Ovis aries: one gene and its partners. The protein of the gene in region 3 interacts with the protein of the main gene of each other region in a pairwise test. Links are inferred from orthologs where the notes say so. Each region holds a gene or a part of one and is shown on either strand. Other genes may lie near its edges.

The links.
Region 1: the proteins of TRIM27 (region 3) and PPP1R18 interact in binary tests that used the Homo sapiens proteins (3 or more experiments, as listed by UniProt). The two-hybrid records come from large-scale screens. The link is inferred for Ovis aries from reciprocal best matches to the Homo sapiens genes TRIM27 and PPP1R18.
Region 2: the proteins of TRIM27 (region 3) and TCHP interact in binary tests that used the Homo sapiens proteins (3 or more experiments, as listed by UniProt). The two-hybrid records come from large-scale screens. The link is inferred for Ovis aries from reciprocal best matches to the Homo sapiens genes TRIM27 and TCHP.

The regions. Positions count from the first base shown.
Region 1 is NC_056073.1:27,437,348-27,443,775, forward strand, and holds the start of PPP1R18 (phostensin), read left to right. Parts: upstream 1-2,424; 5' UTR 2,425-2,497; exon of another isoform or gene 2,498-3,149; intron 3,150-4,233; 5' UTR 4,234-4,260; coding exon 4,261-5,880; intron 5,881-6,428. Other genes in the region: NRM (nurim), read left to right, coding at 94-290, 895-1,071, 1,425-1,706.
Region 2 is NC_056070.1:63,502,911-63,509,136, reverse strand, and holds the start of TCHP (trichoplein keratin filament-binding protein), read left to right. Parts: upstream 1-2,222; 5' UTR 2,223-2,335; intron 2,336-3,784; coding exon 3,785-3,978; exon of another isoform or gene 3,979-3,989; intron 3,990-4,826; coding exon 4,827-5,037; intron 5,038-5,763; coding exon 5,764-5,820; intron 5,821-6,226. UniProt on the Homo sapiens protein: Tumor suppressor which has the ability to inhibit cell growth and be pro-apoptotic during cell stress. Inhibits cell growth in bladder and prostate cancer cells by a down-regulation of HSPB1 by inhibiting its phosphorylation.
Region 3 is NC_056073.1:29,130,072-29,134,846, forward strand, and holds the end of TRIM27 (zinc finger protein RFP), read left to right. Parts: intron 1-41; coding exon 42-68; intron 69-1,716; coding exon 1,717-2,312; 3' UTR 2,313-3,360; downstream 3,361-4,775. UniProt on the Homo sapiens protein: E3 ubiquitin-protein ligase that mediates ubiquitination of various substrates and thereby plays a role in diffent processes including proliferation, innate immunity, apoptosis, immune response or autophagy.

The DNA.
Region 1 (6,428 bases), about 1.7 Mb from region 3:
GGACATGGCCTGGGGTCCCCAAGAGGAGGTGAAGGTAGAGAGTGTTTCCCACAGTCTTCTTGATCTTTTGTACCTTTTTCCAACTCCCGCTAGATGCCCGCCAGGGATGGCTGGCTGCCCTGCAGGACCAAAGCATCCTTGTCCCGCTGGTTTGGGATCTGGGGCTCCTGTTACTGTTTGTGGGGCAGCACAGCCTCATGGCAACTGAGACCGTGAAGGAATGGATGTCCCGGTACTTTGGGGTCCTTCAGAGGTCACTGTACGTGGCATGCACTGCCCTGGCCTTGCAGGTATGAAGCCCTGGCAGCTGAGTCCTCAAGGGAAACAGCATGTGTGAAGGATGTCATTGATTGGAGCTGCAAGAACCTCAGGCTTCGGATAAAGTGTGGGTTTAGGAGGAGAACTGAGGGTGTTCAGGACTAGTCTCAGCTCCCGTTATTTCACAGCACACATTTCTCCTTTTTATCAAGAAGTATGTACTGCTTGTCATCCCCTACGCATGATGTGTGCATTCTCACCTTTGCAACTTCGTTCCTGTTGTCCCGCTTGAGAGTGCCTTGGTAACACCTCTTCAGTCTTATCCTTTCTTCAAAAGCACTTCCCTAGATCTCAAGAGAAAGCTTCCCGGTTAGTACTCACCTGTCTCCTCAGTGGGTGCTTGGCATAGGCTATTTTGTGTGCCTATGTGGTCACCCTCATCCATTCTCTAAGTCCTCAGAGTGGAGACAAGTCATTCTTACATCCTTAGGACCCCACCCAGCACCCTCCACATGGTGAACATGCTCATGATAGAGGTGGGGGGAACAGCTGGCCAGCCTGGACTGGAGGCAGCCCCTGGGTCTGGGTCTGTCAAGGGTGGGCTGCTGGGAAACCCAGTTCCTCTTCCTTCCTCAGCTGGTGATGCGGTACTGGGAGCCTGTGCCCAGGGGTCCTGTGTTGTGGGAGGCTCGGGCTGAGCCATGGGCCACTTGGGTGCCCCTCCTCTGCTTTGTCCTCCACGTCATTTCCTGGCTCCTCATCTTCAGCATCCTTCTCGTCTTCGACTACGCAGAGCTCATGGGCCTGAAACAGGTGAGGCTCCCAGATCCCTACCCAAGACATCTGATCCTTTCTAGAATACCTCTTTCCCCTCCAAGGATGTCCCTGTGCCTCCCATTGTCTTCCACCTGCCTCTTGTTTTTGAGCCCTTCACCTCCCTTTCTTATAAGACAGTCTCCCCCCAGCCCTCCCTCAAAGGCTAGGAATCATGGGCTTCTTGGGCCTGGGAAGGTTCATGGGCCAGAGATGAGGGTCAGGGACCTCCAGTCTCAGGAGGGTGGTTCCTGAGCCTGTCATAGAAGGAGGGTGCCCAGGACGGGAGGAAAGAGGCAGTTAAGTTGTGACAAGGGCTTGGCTCCATTCCTAAGCCATTCTCCCTCTGCTAGGTGTACTACCATGTGCTGGGGCTGGGCGAGCCTCTGGCCCTGAAGTCGCCCCGGGCTCTGAGACTCTTCTCCCACCTGCGCCATCCAGTGTGCGTGGAGCTGCTGACAGTGCTATGGGTGGTACCCACCCTGGGCACTGACCGCCTGCTCCTTGCTCTCCTCCTTACCCTCTACCTGGGCCTGGCTCACGGACTGGACCAGCATGATCTCCGCTATCTCCGGGCCCAGCTACAAAGAAAACTCCACCTGCTCTCCCGGCCCCAGGATGGGGAGGCCGAGTAAGGGGTTAACCCTGGTTGCAAGCCCTGTACTTCCTCTCTCCCTCCTATCCCAAATTCCCTTAACATCTAGGCCTTGGCTGCTTCAGACCAGAGGCCCAAATCCATGGACTGAAGGAGTGGTCCCTTTCCTTGCTTGAGCCTCCACTCCTTGGTTCCAGCTCCATACTGAATTTCAGCCATTGGACTCCAAGGGCCACTTCTCACCAGCCAGGAAGGAGTGGCTGGGAACTTCTTCTCACAGTTCAGGGCTTGACCCTCCGTTAACAATTTCCTCACCAAGAGAAGAGTCTGGCTTGACCACTCCCTTAGCCCTGTTACTACCCTCTGTGCCTCAGGGATCCTTTCTCCACGTCTAGCTCCCTCCCAGGGGCTGGACCGAGGCCCACTGTCTGGCCTTTTCAGCTCCCTAGGCCCCGACCCTAGGCTCCATCCTCCTGAACCTAGTTGAGCGGTTTCTCCCGTTCTTAGCTAAGGTGACTAGAGGCTCCCTGCTTTCCCGAGGAACTCACGCTACAGGAAAATAAAATTCAGTCTGGTTTTTCTACGTGTAGAATGCAGTCTGTCAGTGTCTCTCAAAGCTGCAGGGCTGGCTCTGGGAAAGGCGAGTTACATTGGAGTCTGGGCATCGGCCGCGCCTTCTGGTGACCGCTGGGCGGCGGCCACTCCCCGCGCACCCAGCCCTCCACCCCCTTCCCGGAGCACCCGGTCCCCCTTCCTCCAAATCTCCCAATTTCCTTGCTGCAGACCCGGGTGGGGGACGGGCTGAAACGGAAGAGTGGGGAGACGGTTCGGGTAAGGGAGCGAGCTTCCGAAACCGTTGTCTTCCCAGCCCTGCTCCTGTGGCCGCCCCCTCCCCACGGGCCCCGCAAGCGCCCCCACGGTAACAAAGGCTGGCCCGGGAAGGCAAAAGCGTGGGGAGGAGCGGCAGGAGATGGGAAGGGCGGGCCCGGCTCCGAGCAGCTGCCGCTTCCTCCCGAAGTCCCTCGAGGGGTCTGAGTCACGGGCCGCCGCCCCGGCTTGGCTAGCTGGGGGTGGGGGTCTGGACACCTGGGCTGTCCAGGGTTACCGGGCGGCAGCCGCGTGAGAGGCCCTGGGGAAGGACCGCGGAGTGCCGGGGATCGCGGCGGGAAAACAGGAGTCCCGGGGCCGAGGATCCACGCGGGGGACCCGGGGAGCGAGGCTCCGCCCCCGCGCCCGGCTCCGCCCAGCGCCCCCTTCCCTCTCCCCATTGTCCTCAGACAAAGCGGCGGCCGCCCCCCGCTCGGCCCCCGGGTCTGTCTCCGTCCCTCCCCTTCTCCTCCCTTCCCCCCTCCCGCGCCCCCCGCGCCCCCCCCCACCTCCTGCCCCGGATCTCCCTCTATCCCTCTCTCCTCCTCTTCCTCTCTCCTCCTCTCTCCGGACGTCAGGCTCCTTCGCACCCCCTCCCCCGGGAGCCCCGCGGCATGTGAGTTGACCCAGGGGCTTCAGACTTGGGGAGGGGGTGTCCCCTCCCTTCCGTCCCGGGCGCGGACCTCGGGCTGCCTCTCCTCTCTTTGTGCCGAGATTGCCCGTCAGTGCGGTCATAGCCGGGTGGGGACGGCTGGCGAGGTCGGGGTTCCATGAGCGCCGAGACCCCGGCGCGAGACTGGCCGGCTCCGGAGAGAAGCGGTGTGGAGCCGGTGCTCCGTACGCCTGAGGCGCTCGCTCGCCCGGGACCCCGGGGCATCGCCGGTGGGGGAGGCCGGCGGCGGGGCCCGGACCGGGTTAGGGTTGGTGGGGGGTGGACGCCAGGGTTCTGGGAACGAGCTGGCAGCTCCGATCGCCGGGTTCCGAAAGTCCCCGGGGGAGGGTATTTCCCCTGGCCCGCCCCGGGGCGGAGTGCAGGGCGGAGGGGTGGGGGCTGGGGGGTCTGAGAGGCGTGGCTCAAGCGGAGCTGGAAGGGGAGCCCGGACCTCCGGGGCCCGCGCCGAGACTCGCCCGGCTACAGCCGCCGAGCTCCCTCGCCCCTCTGCCCCCGATTCCCCCTTCTCCCCTGGACCTGTCCACTCTCCGCCCTCCCACCTTCCCGACACCCCTTCAGGTCCCACTGCCCCCTCTCCGCCGGGGATCCCGCTGACCTCGCTTCCCACTCCCGCCGCTCCTGAGGTAGCGGTCAGGCAACCTCGGTCGGATCCTGCCCCGCTCACCCCCAGCCTCTCTTCTCTCTTCTCCCTCGTGCCAGCTTCTTTCGTTTTTCCCTCTTCTCACAACCTGGGGACTGTCTCTGATGCCCAGTAACCTGTACCCACAAATCTGACTCCTGTCTCTTTGCCCTGAATCTCCACTGTTCCTCTCGACCCACCTCCCCCAACCCCATCACCTGGCTCTTAGTTTCCTCTTCACTTTCTCAGGTTTTCCCCTTTCTCTGCTCCCCTCCGCCGCCCCCTTTCCTACTGTCCTCACCCTCAGCTCCTCTGTGACCCACCTCTCCCCCTGCTTCCTCTCCCCCACCCCCATTCTCACCTCCTGGGCCCCTCTGGAGCCTCTCCTTCCTGTTCTCTGCCCCCCAGCGTTCCCCCACCCTCCCCAAGGCGACCATGGCCACCATCCCAGACTGGAAGCTACAGCTGCTAGCCCGGCGCCGGCAGGAAGAGGCAGCCGTTCGCGGCCGTGAGACGGCAGAGCGGGAGCGGCTGTCGCAGATGCCAGCCTGGAAGCGGGGCCTTCTGGAGCGCCGCCGGGCCAAGCTTGGTCTGTCTCCTGGGGAGCCTAGCCCTGCGCCTGGGACTACGGAGGCTGGACCTCCAAACCCAGACGAGTCTGCTGTCCTCCTGGAGGCCATTGGGCCTGTGCACCAGAACCGATTTATCCGGCAAGAGCGCCAGCAGCAGCAGCAGCAGCAGCAGCAGCAGCAACAGCAGCGGAGTGAAGAGCTACTCACGGACAAACGGCCTGGACCTTTGGAGACCCGGGGGCGGAGACCCAGCCCCGGGGAGACACGGGATCCCAGCCCCAAGGGAAGAGAGTCCAGGGAAGAGCGGCTCAGTCCTAGGGAGGCCAGAGAGAAGAGGCTGGGGATAGGGGGCGCTCGAGAGTCGAGCCCCAGGCCTTTGGAGTCTCGGGACTGGAGGCAGAGCCCAGGAGAGGCTGGAGACAGGAGCTCTAGACTGTCAGAGGTGCGGAAATGGAGGCTGAGCCCTGGAGAAACTCCTGAGCGGAGTTTGAGACTGGCAGAGCCCCGAGAACAAAGCCCCAGGAGAACAGAGGTGGTGGACAGTAAACGGAGCCCCGAAGAGTCTGACAACCAGAAGCTGGGCCTGACAGACTCCCATAAATGGAGGCCTGACCCCAAAGAGTCTCCGGGACAGAGTTTGGGACAACTGGAGGCATCAGAGTGGAGGCCGAGTTCAGGAGAAGAAAGAAAAGACTGCTCAGAGGAATGGGGGAGAAAAGACGAGAGGCCGATTCCAAGAATGGACCCAGAAGGGACCACAGCGTCGTCAGAGACCCCAACAAGGGAGGCTCCAGACAGTCGCTCTGCAGGACCAGAGGGAGCAGAAGAAAGGCCCAGCCCCGTAGAGGATGGCGAGAGGGGCCTGCGGCCCCCGGAAGGATGGAAATGGACCCTGAACTCTGGGAAGGCCCGAGACTGGACACCCAGGGACACAGAGCCTCAGCCCCAGAAACCAGACACTCCAGAGTCTGTTGAGAAGCACGTGGGTCCTTTGGGTGCAGAGGCTGAGAAGGAGGAGGCGGGCGCTCAGAGCAGGCCTCTGGGCGCCCTGCAGGACCGCTGCTCTGCGCCCTCCCCCCTCTCCCCAGAGGACGCCGGGACTGGAGCCTCTAGACGGCAGGAAGAGGAAGCAGGGGAACTCCGGCCCCCACCCGCAGCCCCTCTGTCTCCCCCACCCCCAGCCCCACCTGCCCCCCAGTCCCTTGGGGATCCCCTCATGAGCCGGCTCTTCTACGGGGTGAAGGCAGGGCCAGGGGTGGGGGCCCCCCGCCGCAGCGGACACACCTTCACAGTCAACCCCCGGCGGTCCGCGCCCCCTGCAGCCCCTGCCACTCCAGCCGCCCCAGCCACAGCTGACACGGCGGTCCCTGGGGCTGGGAAGAAGCGGTACCCGACTGCCGAGGAGATCTTGGTTCTGGGGGGCTACCTCCGCCTCAGCCGCAGCTGCCTTGTCAAGGGGTCCCCTGAAAGGCGCCACAAACAGGTAGGGAGCAGCCAACCCAGACTTCTTGGCCAGCCCCCCATCACTGCTCTGTGGACTCCTGTCTCTCTCCCTTTTTTTATACCTCTGTATCCTTGTCTTCATCTATTCTTGTTCATTCCTGCTGCCACCCTTCCTCCCCTGAACACACACCCTTCCTTCTTGTGGCCCTTCTTTTCCATTCATTTCCCAGCCCAAGGAGCCTGCTCCGCAATCAGGCTCGCTGTCCTGGGTGTGTCTCTCTCAGGGTGTGCCCAGGCTCCTCACTCTTCTCTCCCTCAGGCTCTGAGTTCACCCCCCCATGCTTTCCATTCCCGAGTCTCTGACCCAGCCCAGCCCATCTGGGTGGGAGACCAGAATTGAGGCCACAGCCTGGAATCTATGGGGGCAGGGTCTGCAGGGCAAAAGTGGGCAAAAGAATGCTGGGGTAGGAAGCCTGGGGAGGCAGAGGGGTTCGGGTTTTAGGGAGAAATGGCAGGGAGAAGCGAGTGGAGGAACATCTCACAGACCCAAGGAAGGGGGGGCTGCAGAGCGGAGTGGGGACATCCTAG
Region 2 (6,226 bases), on a different chromosome or scaffold from region 3:
GCAAATTCCACAACCTACAAGCTGCAGTCCTGTCCCAGAAGATAGGCCAGAGGGTATGGCCTGGGGCCTCAGGCTTCCAGGACAAGGTCAGTCAAGCCCTAGGCCCTTGATCCCAGCAGTTGAGCTTGTTTGGTCCTTTAAGGCCATTATACAGATGAGGCAACTAAGGCCCAGAGAGTGGAAGGCCCTTGCCAAGAGCTGCAAAACCAGGACCTGAAGGCTCGTCTCCCACAGCACAATTCACGCATTTCTGAAGTTCCTATCACACTCAAGAAGGCCTATCAACAACTATTTATTTTAATCAGGCTCTTTTGCTATGTGGATGGCTCTGGCTGGGCTGAGGAGAGTGGGTGGCTGCTTCCCTTCTCCGCTGTGGACACAGGATGGGTGACTGGCCGTGAGCTTGGCCCAAGGGGTTGGGACCAATCACAGGCTAACTCCAGAGGATCTCACGCACAGGGCAGGGCAGGTTCTGAGGGAGATGTGAGAGGGACTTCCCTGGTGGTCCAGTGGTAAAGACTCTGTGCTTCCACTACAGAGGGGGGCAGTGCAATCCCTTGTCAGGGAACTCAGATCCTGCATGTCCTGCATGCTGCCAAAAAACTAGAAAAAAAAGGGGGGGAGGTATGCGAGCGCATGCTCTCCTGAGATGCACCAGGTGCTCTGCTCCCGAGGCCGCTCCATTTAAACTTTCATTTCCTCTCATGAGGGCAACTGTAGAAAGCAGCCCTGTCGGTATTCTTATTTAAAGCTAATCTGAGGCACAGTAAAACTTTCAAGACTTGCTGATCGGAATCAGGCAAAAGAAAGGTGTTCAGAACACTCTACCGGCAGGATCTAGGAGAGGTTTTTAGAAAGAAGATGTGAAAGCAAGGAAATCGTTTGATTGGCTGTAACTTAAGAGGTTGCCTTGTTTGGGAAAGCCCAGTTGGCTGTTTGTGAGTGCTAAATTTCATTTTCTCCAATTTGGGTGCTTTGGCTCTGGCCTAGGTTTAGGTTGACCTGCATCGGCTACGGAGGTGTCACAGCCTTCCCAGTCTAATGGGCTCCTTTTTCAATTACTTGAACATTCTTATTTCACGGATGAGGACACGGAGGCTCAGAGTGACGAAGTGACCTGTCCAGACCACACGACTGTTGTGGTGGAGGCTGCAACAGAGGTCACTCTGTTCAACCAGACTTTATACTGCATCCAGGGAAAACAGAGAATTGAATAAAAGAAGGAAGCGGGCGGGCGGGCCTTCCCTGGTGGTCTGGTGGTTAAGAGTCCAGCTTGCAATGTAGAGGACCCAAGTTTGATCCCTGGTTGGGGAACTAGGTTCCCACATGTGGCAGAGCACCTAACCCTACAAGCTACAACTAGAAGATGGGAGTGCCCGCGACTAAGACCCCAGGCAGCTAAATAAATAAAATTTAAATAAAAAAAGGAGGAAAGGGTGAAGGAAAGAATAAATGAAGACAAAAATGGGAAAATGAAAAGAGCCTGAATAAAAGAGTTAATACTTTTGCTTTTCATTTATTTTTGTCACACTGCAGAGCTTGTGGGATCTTAGCTCCCCAATCAGGGATTGAACCCAGGCTCTCGGCAGTGACAGTGGGCTGTCTTAACCATTGGACTGCCGGGGAATTTCCAATCTTTTAATTTCATTTTTTAAGAGAATAGTTGGTACATAGAATGATACACGTAGCATGTGAGTTATAAAACATACTAACAGAAGGAACACCCTTGAACCCACCACCATCCTAAAACAATAGAAAGTTGCCAATAGCTCGAACCTACTTATATCAGCGGTTCTTCGAGCTGGCTACACCTTGAACACACCTGAGGGGCTTAGACAACCACAGAGTGCTCGATGGGGTTTGTCTGGAGTCCGGTTTGGACATCTGGATTTTTCAGAGCTCTCCAGATGATTCTCTTGTGCAGCCAGGTTTGAGGGTGACTGGCTTATAATTCCCTTCCCTATTATATCCCTCTGATTTTCCCCGACGCTCACCTGCCTCCCTCAGGTAGCCATCATCCTGAATTTGGTGTAGTGAATGGATTCTTTTCCTTAGACAAGCGATGTCTGCGATTGAGCTCCCGCCCACCACGAGGGGGCATCGGAGAAAAACACAGACTTCTTTTCTTGCTCTGCGCGCCGAGTAATCGCGCTGCAGGAGGCTTGGCCCTCGCGGCGCTCCATCGCCGGCCCGTTGCCTCGGCAACGAGCGGGGAAACGGCCGGCGTAAGTGCAGCGCTGTCGGAGAGGGTCGCCGTGGCCCGGGCAGGGATTATTTGGGGCTTGCGGGACCTTGGGCCGGGGCAGTCTTGGGAAACTCCGGCGCGCAGAGAAACGTGAGTCGGGGGTTTGGGCTCGGTCGGGGGCCGGCGTTGGGGTCTGGACCCTCAGAGCTCTGCCGCAGTCGGCTCCGCGCTGGCGGGAAGCGCGCCCGCCGTCCCGGGACGCGATCGCGGGGCGCCCGGGGCTTCGGCTTCCAGTCCTCACTCGGCTCCCCGCGCGGCCTGGGTCCGACCCTTTCCTCTGTAATCTCTTTTGTTGTATGTGGCTGAGAGAGGGATGCGACTTGTTCAGAGAGCCTCCCAGCTTGTTGTTGATGGTTCATCTGGGGCCGGAATCTTCACTTTCCTCAATCCTCGTGCAAAGATTTATCCGCAGGCGGCCTATGGGGCAAAGAAAAATGTCTGTCAGGCCTGCCACAGTCTGAAGACAGATTTGACCTGGCAGTCTCAGGCTAAGCTTGACTCATAGACGCAGATCATTTTCCTCCCGGTTCGGAGGACTCTGAGTTTGTTTATTTGCCAGAAGCTCCTTGAGCACTGTCACAGCCAGGCACTGTGTAGACCCTGCACCTGGGGCAGCTTTTGGACCGGGAGTGGTTGGGGGGAGATGTCCGGAGAGACTGGTTCTGCTTTCGAGTCTCCGCCCGTGTCCCCAGATCGCCCCCTTGACCCGTGCAAATTGATTCTTCCCTCTGGGTGGTAGTTTCTCCATCTGTAAGAAGGAGGGATCTCCCTCCATGCTCATCCAGAACATTACCAGGTGTGACACCTGGAGATAGCAACCCACTCCAATATCCTTGCCTGGAGAATACTATGGACAGAGGAGCCTCGTGGGCTACAGTCCATGGGGTTGCAAAGAGTGGGACAGGACTTTGATTTCAGCAAGCGACTTTCATTTCACTTCACAGCCAGGGCATGTTGGTCCCAACAAGTACCATCTTGCAGTCTACAGAGCTTGGGCCCTCATCCCAGGCTAACATGAATTAGGCTCCCAGCTCCTGTTTAAATTTCCTCTGCTTCCTGGCTTTGTGATCTTCAAGTCATTTTACCTCTTTGAACTTCAGTTTCCTCAGCTGCCAAAAACAGCAGGGTGCTAGTAACAATGAAAAAGGTCATATAAGTCAAGGGCTTGGCCCACATCCGCATGCCTGCAGTTATCCTCTCTGTTACCTTAGGCAGAGCGCAGAAACCCTCCGTGTGCCAGTCCAGTGTCGTCAGCACTGGCTCCCTGTCTCTGCACTGCCCTTACTGATGTCAGGCTCACAGCTGGGTGCAGTCCAGGCTTCTTCAGCTAGATGATTTGGGGTCCTGGTAGCAAGTCATTTTTAAAATGCTGGTGCCTGGGAGCCTGCACTGAGATTTTTTTTTTTTTACTTAATTGGTCTGCCTTGGGGCCCAGGCTCTACCAGGAGATCCCAGTGTGCAGCCCAGGGTGAGGACCGGGCCTCAAAGGGGTGAGGAGCTGCAGCAGGCTCCTGTTCTTAGCGCTGCTGTTCTCCTCAGATGGCACTCCCCACGCTGCCCTCCTCCTGGTGCAGCCGGCGGCTCCCAGATCAGCAGGCCGCCCGACAGCGCCGCCAGGAGCAGGAGGCGCATCTTCGGCAGCAGTGGGACCAGAACAGCCGCTACTTCCAGATGTCCGACATCCGCAGCTCCAAACAGGCAGAGTGGAGCTCCAGGGCCTCCTACCAGCGGAGGTAACTGTGCGGTGAGCACCTTCCCTTAGGGCTGGAGGGCCACCTACTGCCGGGAGATGTGACTGACTCAAGGACCTGGGGGAGGGTGGCTGGCCGGCGTGGATACTTGCATGGAAATGTGATGATTTCCGTGGATACTCGCATGGCGATGTCTTTCCAACTGGAAACTGAAAAGAAGGTCAGCAGTGAAGTAACACATTTGACTGAAAAAGATAAGATGATGAGACGTGTATGTAGAATCCGGAAGTCCCCCGGTAGCCCCATTTCCCCAGGAGAGAACCACCGTGAACTGTCTGGTCCGTAACCTCCCGTACACTTCTTCATCTGTTTTTGTGTGTAAATATAGATACAAGCATACACCCATTTTTATAGAGAGAGATACATACGAAAACACGGAAGTTAAAAGCATGGGCTTTGAAGTCACACAGACCTAGATAGCAATTCTGACTATGGGCTTTGGAGTCGGACAGACCTAGATAGCAATTCTGACTGTGTCACTTGCTGTATGAATGAGCCTCAGTTTCCTCATCAGTGAAGTGGGGCTAAAACAGAACCTAATTTATAGGATTTATGTCATGACTACTATAAAAACCATCCAGGTTATGTAGTACATGGTAACTACTCAGATAATATTACCATGTGCATAGATACGCCTCTTGTACATTTCCTTGCAAGAACAAGATTCTATTATGCATAGTGGTTCTATTACCTGGCCTGTTCACTTTGGCTGGAGGACGCCTTCCCAGGTCACCATGTTCCATGTGTCTCAGCCTGTCACCCACACAGCCAGCCATGTAGCCCCTGTGCAGCTGGAAGCATCCAGGCTGATGGTGGCCCCTCTCGCCCAGCATGCATGCTTACCAGCGGGAGAAGATGAAGGAGGAGGGCAGGAAGCGTCTGGAGGCCCGACGGCAGAGACTCAGGCAGCTTCTGGTGGAGGAGCAGGACTTGCTGGCCAGACAACTGGAGGAGCTGAGGCTGAGCATGAACCTGAGGGAAGGGAGAATCCGGGAGCAGCACGGGAACCTGAAGGCGGCCCGAGAGGAGCAAAGGAAGCTGGTAACTCCGCGTAGCTCTTCAGCAGGGTGCGAAGCCCGAGTCCCCGGCCTGTCGGTGAGGCCACGAGGCGTCTCCCTCAGGGGCCGAGATGGCAGTTCACTACAGAGCCAGCTGAGAAAAGTGCTGACTCTGAGTCGTTGTTCGTGTGTATTTTCCAGGAGTCATCTTTATTCTCTTGGGCCCCTTAAATCATTATATCTGAGTCCCTTTTCTTTATTCTAGTTCTCTGGTCCCATGAAAGGCTGGGACTGGTGTATTTTAACTTAACTTCCAAAGTAGTCCTGTGTAGTGGTGGTCTCTAAGCTGTGTTTTTAAGCCTGCTGTATATTTTGAAGTAGATCTTTAGCATCTAGGACCCATTTGTAGCATCAGATTTTGGCCCCTTTTTATCACCATTATAAGAGTCATTTGTGGGAACTCCCTGGTGGTCCAGTGGTTAAGACTCCACGCTCACTGCTGAGTGCCCAGGTTCAATCCCTGATCACGGAACTAAGATCCCACAAGTCGTTTGGCGTAGCCAAAGAAATGAGTCATTTATCAGCACCTGATTGGTGTCTGTTGAGAGCCAGACACCTCCTGAGGCCCGAGGGAAGCCTGAAGGGCAGGTGCGGTGCTGGCTGCCAGTGGAGGAGCTCTTAGGCTCACCTGACTTCACTGTGGGTTACCTGAAACATGGATGGATTGGAAGAGCGATGTCAGTCTCCCCTCTTTGTGTTTTCTTGGCAGATTGCTGAACGACTTTTGTATGAACACTGGAAAAAGAACAACCCCAAACTTCGAGAGGTGAAAACCAAAGAGATCCTCCCATTGGTTTGCCTAAGTAGATGAAATCACGTTGCTCGCCTTGTTTCTAAATTTGCATCTTGTGCTGGGATGAAAGAGATCACTCCAGCCGCTTTGGAAAGAGGCTCCACACAGAAGATCTGGTTCATTTGGTTATTTAACATCTACAAGAGGCTGCAAGAGGTTGGGACATCTGATAGGAAGGGGGAAACCCAACAGTGGAGGCTGGGTAGGCAGATGGGGCCACCTGGGACAGCCTTGGGTGGCCTTCCCCTGGAGGCACCCGGGAGCGCCTGCGAGATTCTCAGCAGAGGTGCAGTGGGGCCCTGGCTGCATTTTGGGGAGCAGTAGCAGGGTCGAGGGGGCGGGAAGGGGTGATGTCAATTGAGGGGTTGCAGCTGCAGCC
Region 3 (4,775 bases):
TTCCATAACTTCTTTTCTCTCTCTTTTTTTTTTTTTTTCAGAATTGAGAGAGGCCCAGTTATACTCAGGTGGGTGACAGGAGACAAAACCATTTGGAAAAAGGAGTAAAAATCCTTATCAACCTAACTACTATTCACTAACTATCATTCACTATTATTGTGAATGATTTTGGAAAGTGCCTTAATTTGAATCCTTTAGGTTACATTTATTTTTTAAAAAATGATAATAATCACAAAAAATTTGTTATTTCTATGTGTTTGTAATATTTGCTTCCTAAAAGGCCTCACATCTGAACCCATGGACCTTTGAAAGAGGAGGAAATTGAATTCAGGTGCTAGGAAGGATTATAGAGTTGAAACTACAGTTTCCAAAAATTAGCGCACTGCCACTGCTGGTACACTGGTCCACTGCTGTGCCCACCCAGCCTTGGGCAGTGTGTGGTTTACAAAAGCATTGGTCTAAAAAGATTGAGCTTGCCTCTTATTCTGAGAGCTAGGGAAAGTCTAGGAAAAATCTGGAGTCATCCCTTCTCTGTCTGAGCTCTAGAGTTGAAACTCTCCCTCCCCTTGACAGTCACCTTCACCTGAGGTTCACAGACTGGGTAAATCTATGATCTCAAACTCATCTGAGGTTTGTATTCACATGACCACCTTCTATTTCATGGGATCTTCTTCATGGACAAACAACATGTGTGTTAGTTGCTCAGTCGTGTCCACCTCTTTGTGACCGCATGGACTGGGGCTCGCTGGGCTCTTCCATCCATGGGATTCTCCAGGCAAGAATACTGGAACAAGTTGCCATTTCCTTCTTCATCATGAACAGAGGGACTCTACAAACAATGGGTCTTCTTTCATTAATGTCCCCTGGTTGTGATCCATATTTAATTCTTTCAAGATTGAATATGTTGCTTATGTCTTACATTTCCTAATATTGCACAGGGTACAGTAGAGGGAACCAAAGAGCATAAGGCACTGACCTACCCTTGGAGCTAAATGTCTGGTTGGAGGTATGAGGTCTACCCATGACTTGAGGGAATAAATGGGAACTGTTGTGAACACATTGTTGAACCACGAACCACGCCTCTGAGGTTCTTGGTCACCTCCACCAGTTGTCATGAGCCTTTTGTGGGAGACAGTCAGCCTACCTGAACTATGGTTCAGAGAGATAATGTTAGGGAATCTTCCTTCTGAACAAGATAAGAAGAACAAGTGAGAGAATATGTCAGTGATTTTAAAACTGGAAACCACCACGATTGTCAGATGCATGTGGCACTATTTAGTGTCTTTATCTGATATAATGTGAATATCCATATGTTTCACAGCAGATCTGTTAGTATTGGTTGTAGAGTGCTACACCACACCCTCTCTGTCTAAATACTGTAAACTTCTGGACCCTGTGGCTTTCGGATTAAGGGGTTGGACATACACATAAGAAAACCTTAAATTCAGCTTATAACGGATATTGTGGTTTAAAATGTGGAAAAGCAAGGTAAAAATTTCAGTACTTCCAGTATATCCTAGCTAAATGAGATAACTACCTAATCCAAACAGTAATTTTGGGAATGTCAGCTTCAGGGTGGACTTAAATGTATAAAATGAATGTGTCTTTGCTGGAGAGCTCTTACTCTCTTCTCAGGGATAGGAGAAAAGCTGAGTGTTCAGAGTGGGCTGTCCTGGTGCTTGGCTAATCCTCCTCTGCCCCTGTATTTCTCTGCAGTGGATGTGACTCTGGACCCAGACACAGCCTACCCCAGCCTGATCCTCTCTGATAACCTGCGGCAAGTGCGGTACAGTTACCTCCAGCAGGACCTGCCCGACAACCCTGAGCGGTTCAATCTGTTTCCCTGTGTCTTGGGCTCTCCATGCTTCATCGCTGGGAGACACTATTGGGAGGTAGAGGTGGGAGATAAAGCCAAGTGGACCATAGGTGTCTGTGAAGACTCAGTGTGCAGAAAAGGTGGGGTAACCTCAGCCCCCCAGAATGGATTCTGGGCAGTGTCCTTGTGGTATGGGAAAGAATACTGGGCTCTCACCTCCCCAATGACTGCCCTCCCCCTGCGGACCCCTCTCCAACGGGTGGGGATTTTCTTGGACTATGATGCTGGCGAGGTCTCCTTCTACAACGTGACAGAGAGGTGTCACACCTTTACTTTCTCTCATGCTACCTTCTGTGGGCCTGTCCGGCCCTACTTCAGTCTGAGTTACTCTGGAGGGAAGAGCGCAGCTCCTCTGATCATCTGTCCCATGAGTGGCATCGATGGGTTTTCTGGCCATGTTGGGAATCATGGTCATTCCATGGAGACCTCCCCTTGAGGAGGTGAACTCAGGCCAGAAGGGCTGCTGGCTGTACTCCCACCCCAGGCATGAGGCATCTTGTTGCCTTGCCACTTCCTGCCCATCACAGCTGGATGTTCTTACCACTTTCCGTGCCCTGCAGTGCAAGACAGGATGTCTGTGTTCTCTGCCATCCCCCCCTTCCCATGAAAATTGTGAGATGTAATAAGTTATCGAGATTGCCCAGAAATAAAAACCAGATGTCCACCTCCAGTGTTCCACACTTCTTGGTCTTATACATTACTGGAGGGGATAAAGAATATGGATAATCTTGGGTTAGGAGAGCCATTCAAGATTCTTACACCTGGGCTCAGCCCCATATAGTGATCATGGGTATTTGCTGTCGTTTCTGAACCAGGGCTTCTTTCTGAGAACCCACAGCTGGACTAAAGTCCTGTCAGCATGGATCCCTTTGTCCCAGTTTTTCCTTTGGGATTAGTACCTCTACCCCTGATTCCCAATCTGCTGTAGTTTTATTAACTCCATTAAAGAGGCCTGTATGTGTTTTGATTAGTTACAGTTATTTTACAGTAATGGTGGGAAATAGCCCCACCTCTGTTAGGAGATAATATTCTAATCAATGTGCTCTTTGCCTCTATCTTTTTGAGGGCTTTGTCAGCTCCCTTCATTCTAATGAAAAGTGTATCCTAGTCCTGGATGCACATCATCCGGGATTATTTTCTGCTCAACACCACTCATTGTTCCTACCTCCCATCCCACTTCCATTTGTGGACTGATGGTCAGTCATACCCTATCCCTGGAAGGATTCTGGGGCAATATTCCAGGGGATTCATTGACTTGTCTCCATTTCTCCCTTCTATTTCAAGGGAAGAGGGAGTTTACCTTTCTGATGTGTGTACCATCAAGGGGCTATTCCATCCCTATGGCCATTGGATCACGAGGCATTCTGAGGTCAGAAAGCCAAGGCAGATCACTTAGCACAAGCCCCCATGATGGTTCTTAGTCTTCTCTTTCTTTGGGTACATGCTCCTCTGTTTAAAAATAAAGTGAGTATGGATGTTGTTTACACTGTTGTTATTTTCTGGGTCTTGGTAGGACTGGGTTCATAGATATTGGAGGAAATCAACACTATTAACCTCTATGGTTTGAGAATCTCATTCTGGTCAGTATTTTACTTTCAACTGGATGATAAAAACAGTACCATGTCACTGCTTTCTACTGGTGCTTGGAAACTAGTGTTGGACTTCCATAGCCTACAGCTTTGTATTGGCTAATCCTGTCACGTCTCTGGAAAAGTGTTCTCTCAAGTGCTTATAACTGACAGTGGGGTATGCAGCAATGCTTGGTATAGATCAGAGCGCCCAGAGCTTGCTTCCCACCTCAGAAGCAGCAGCCTAAGCCCTTAGGGTCATGGAGGGCACCACATTCTAAGGAGGAAAAATATGCTGAGAGGACAGCTCTTTTCCAGGAGGTTTTCGATCTTTTCTGCTTTTGGACATGACCTCAAGATGACAAGATTTTGTGGTCTTAGTCTTGTACCCAACATTGTGGTTCATGGCTGAAGATCATGCATTGGTGATATGTCCTGATTCATTTATTTATTCAAAAGGTTTTAAGAGAAATAACCAGGAGCTTCAGAGAGGGGCTTCCATGAGGCTAGGTTAGCTTTTGCTGAATAGTCTCAATAGATATAAATACATGTGCTAACAAACGACAGAGGATGAGATGGCTGGATGGCATCACTGGCTCGATGGACGTGAGTCTGAGTGAACTCCAGGAGTTGGCGATGGACAGAGAGGCCTGGCGTGCTGCGATTCATGGGGTTGCAAAGAGTCGGACACGACTGAGTGACTGAACTGAACTGAACTGAACATATATATATATTATGTATATAAAATACTACTACACAGATAAAGAGCAATGCTCAGCACATAGTATGAAGTGCTTTGTGTACAATGGCTTATTTAATGCTCTTAACAACCCTACAAGATAAAGTAGATACTGTTGCCTTTATTTTACACAAGAAAATTGAAGCATAGAGAGGGTAGTGATTTATCCAAGGTGTACAGTTAGGAAGCAACAGGGCCAGGATTCAGACCAAGGTGAAATACATGTCCACGTACATCGTATCCTGCCTCACAATATCTATGGATTATGCTTTTCTGCATGGAAAGGTAGAGACTGAGGCCTTGGGGTGCCAGTCTGTTGACCTGGGATACCAGCCTTTAACAGTAAGTCTGTCTACTCTAGATTCAAGAATTCGCAACTGGAAAACTGGGTGAAGAGACCCAGTCAGAATTGCATTTCAGTTTTACTTAATATAGTCCATTGGGACAAGGAGGAAGAATAAGAGCCCATAAAGAGGGCACCTTGCTTGGTACCAGTCCCAAGAAAATGTGCTCCTAGGAAAGACTCCCTGATCCTTGCTGCTCAACTGATGGAGCTGTCTCCAGGCTAACAAAAGGTCTCACACGGGGTCTG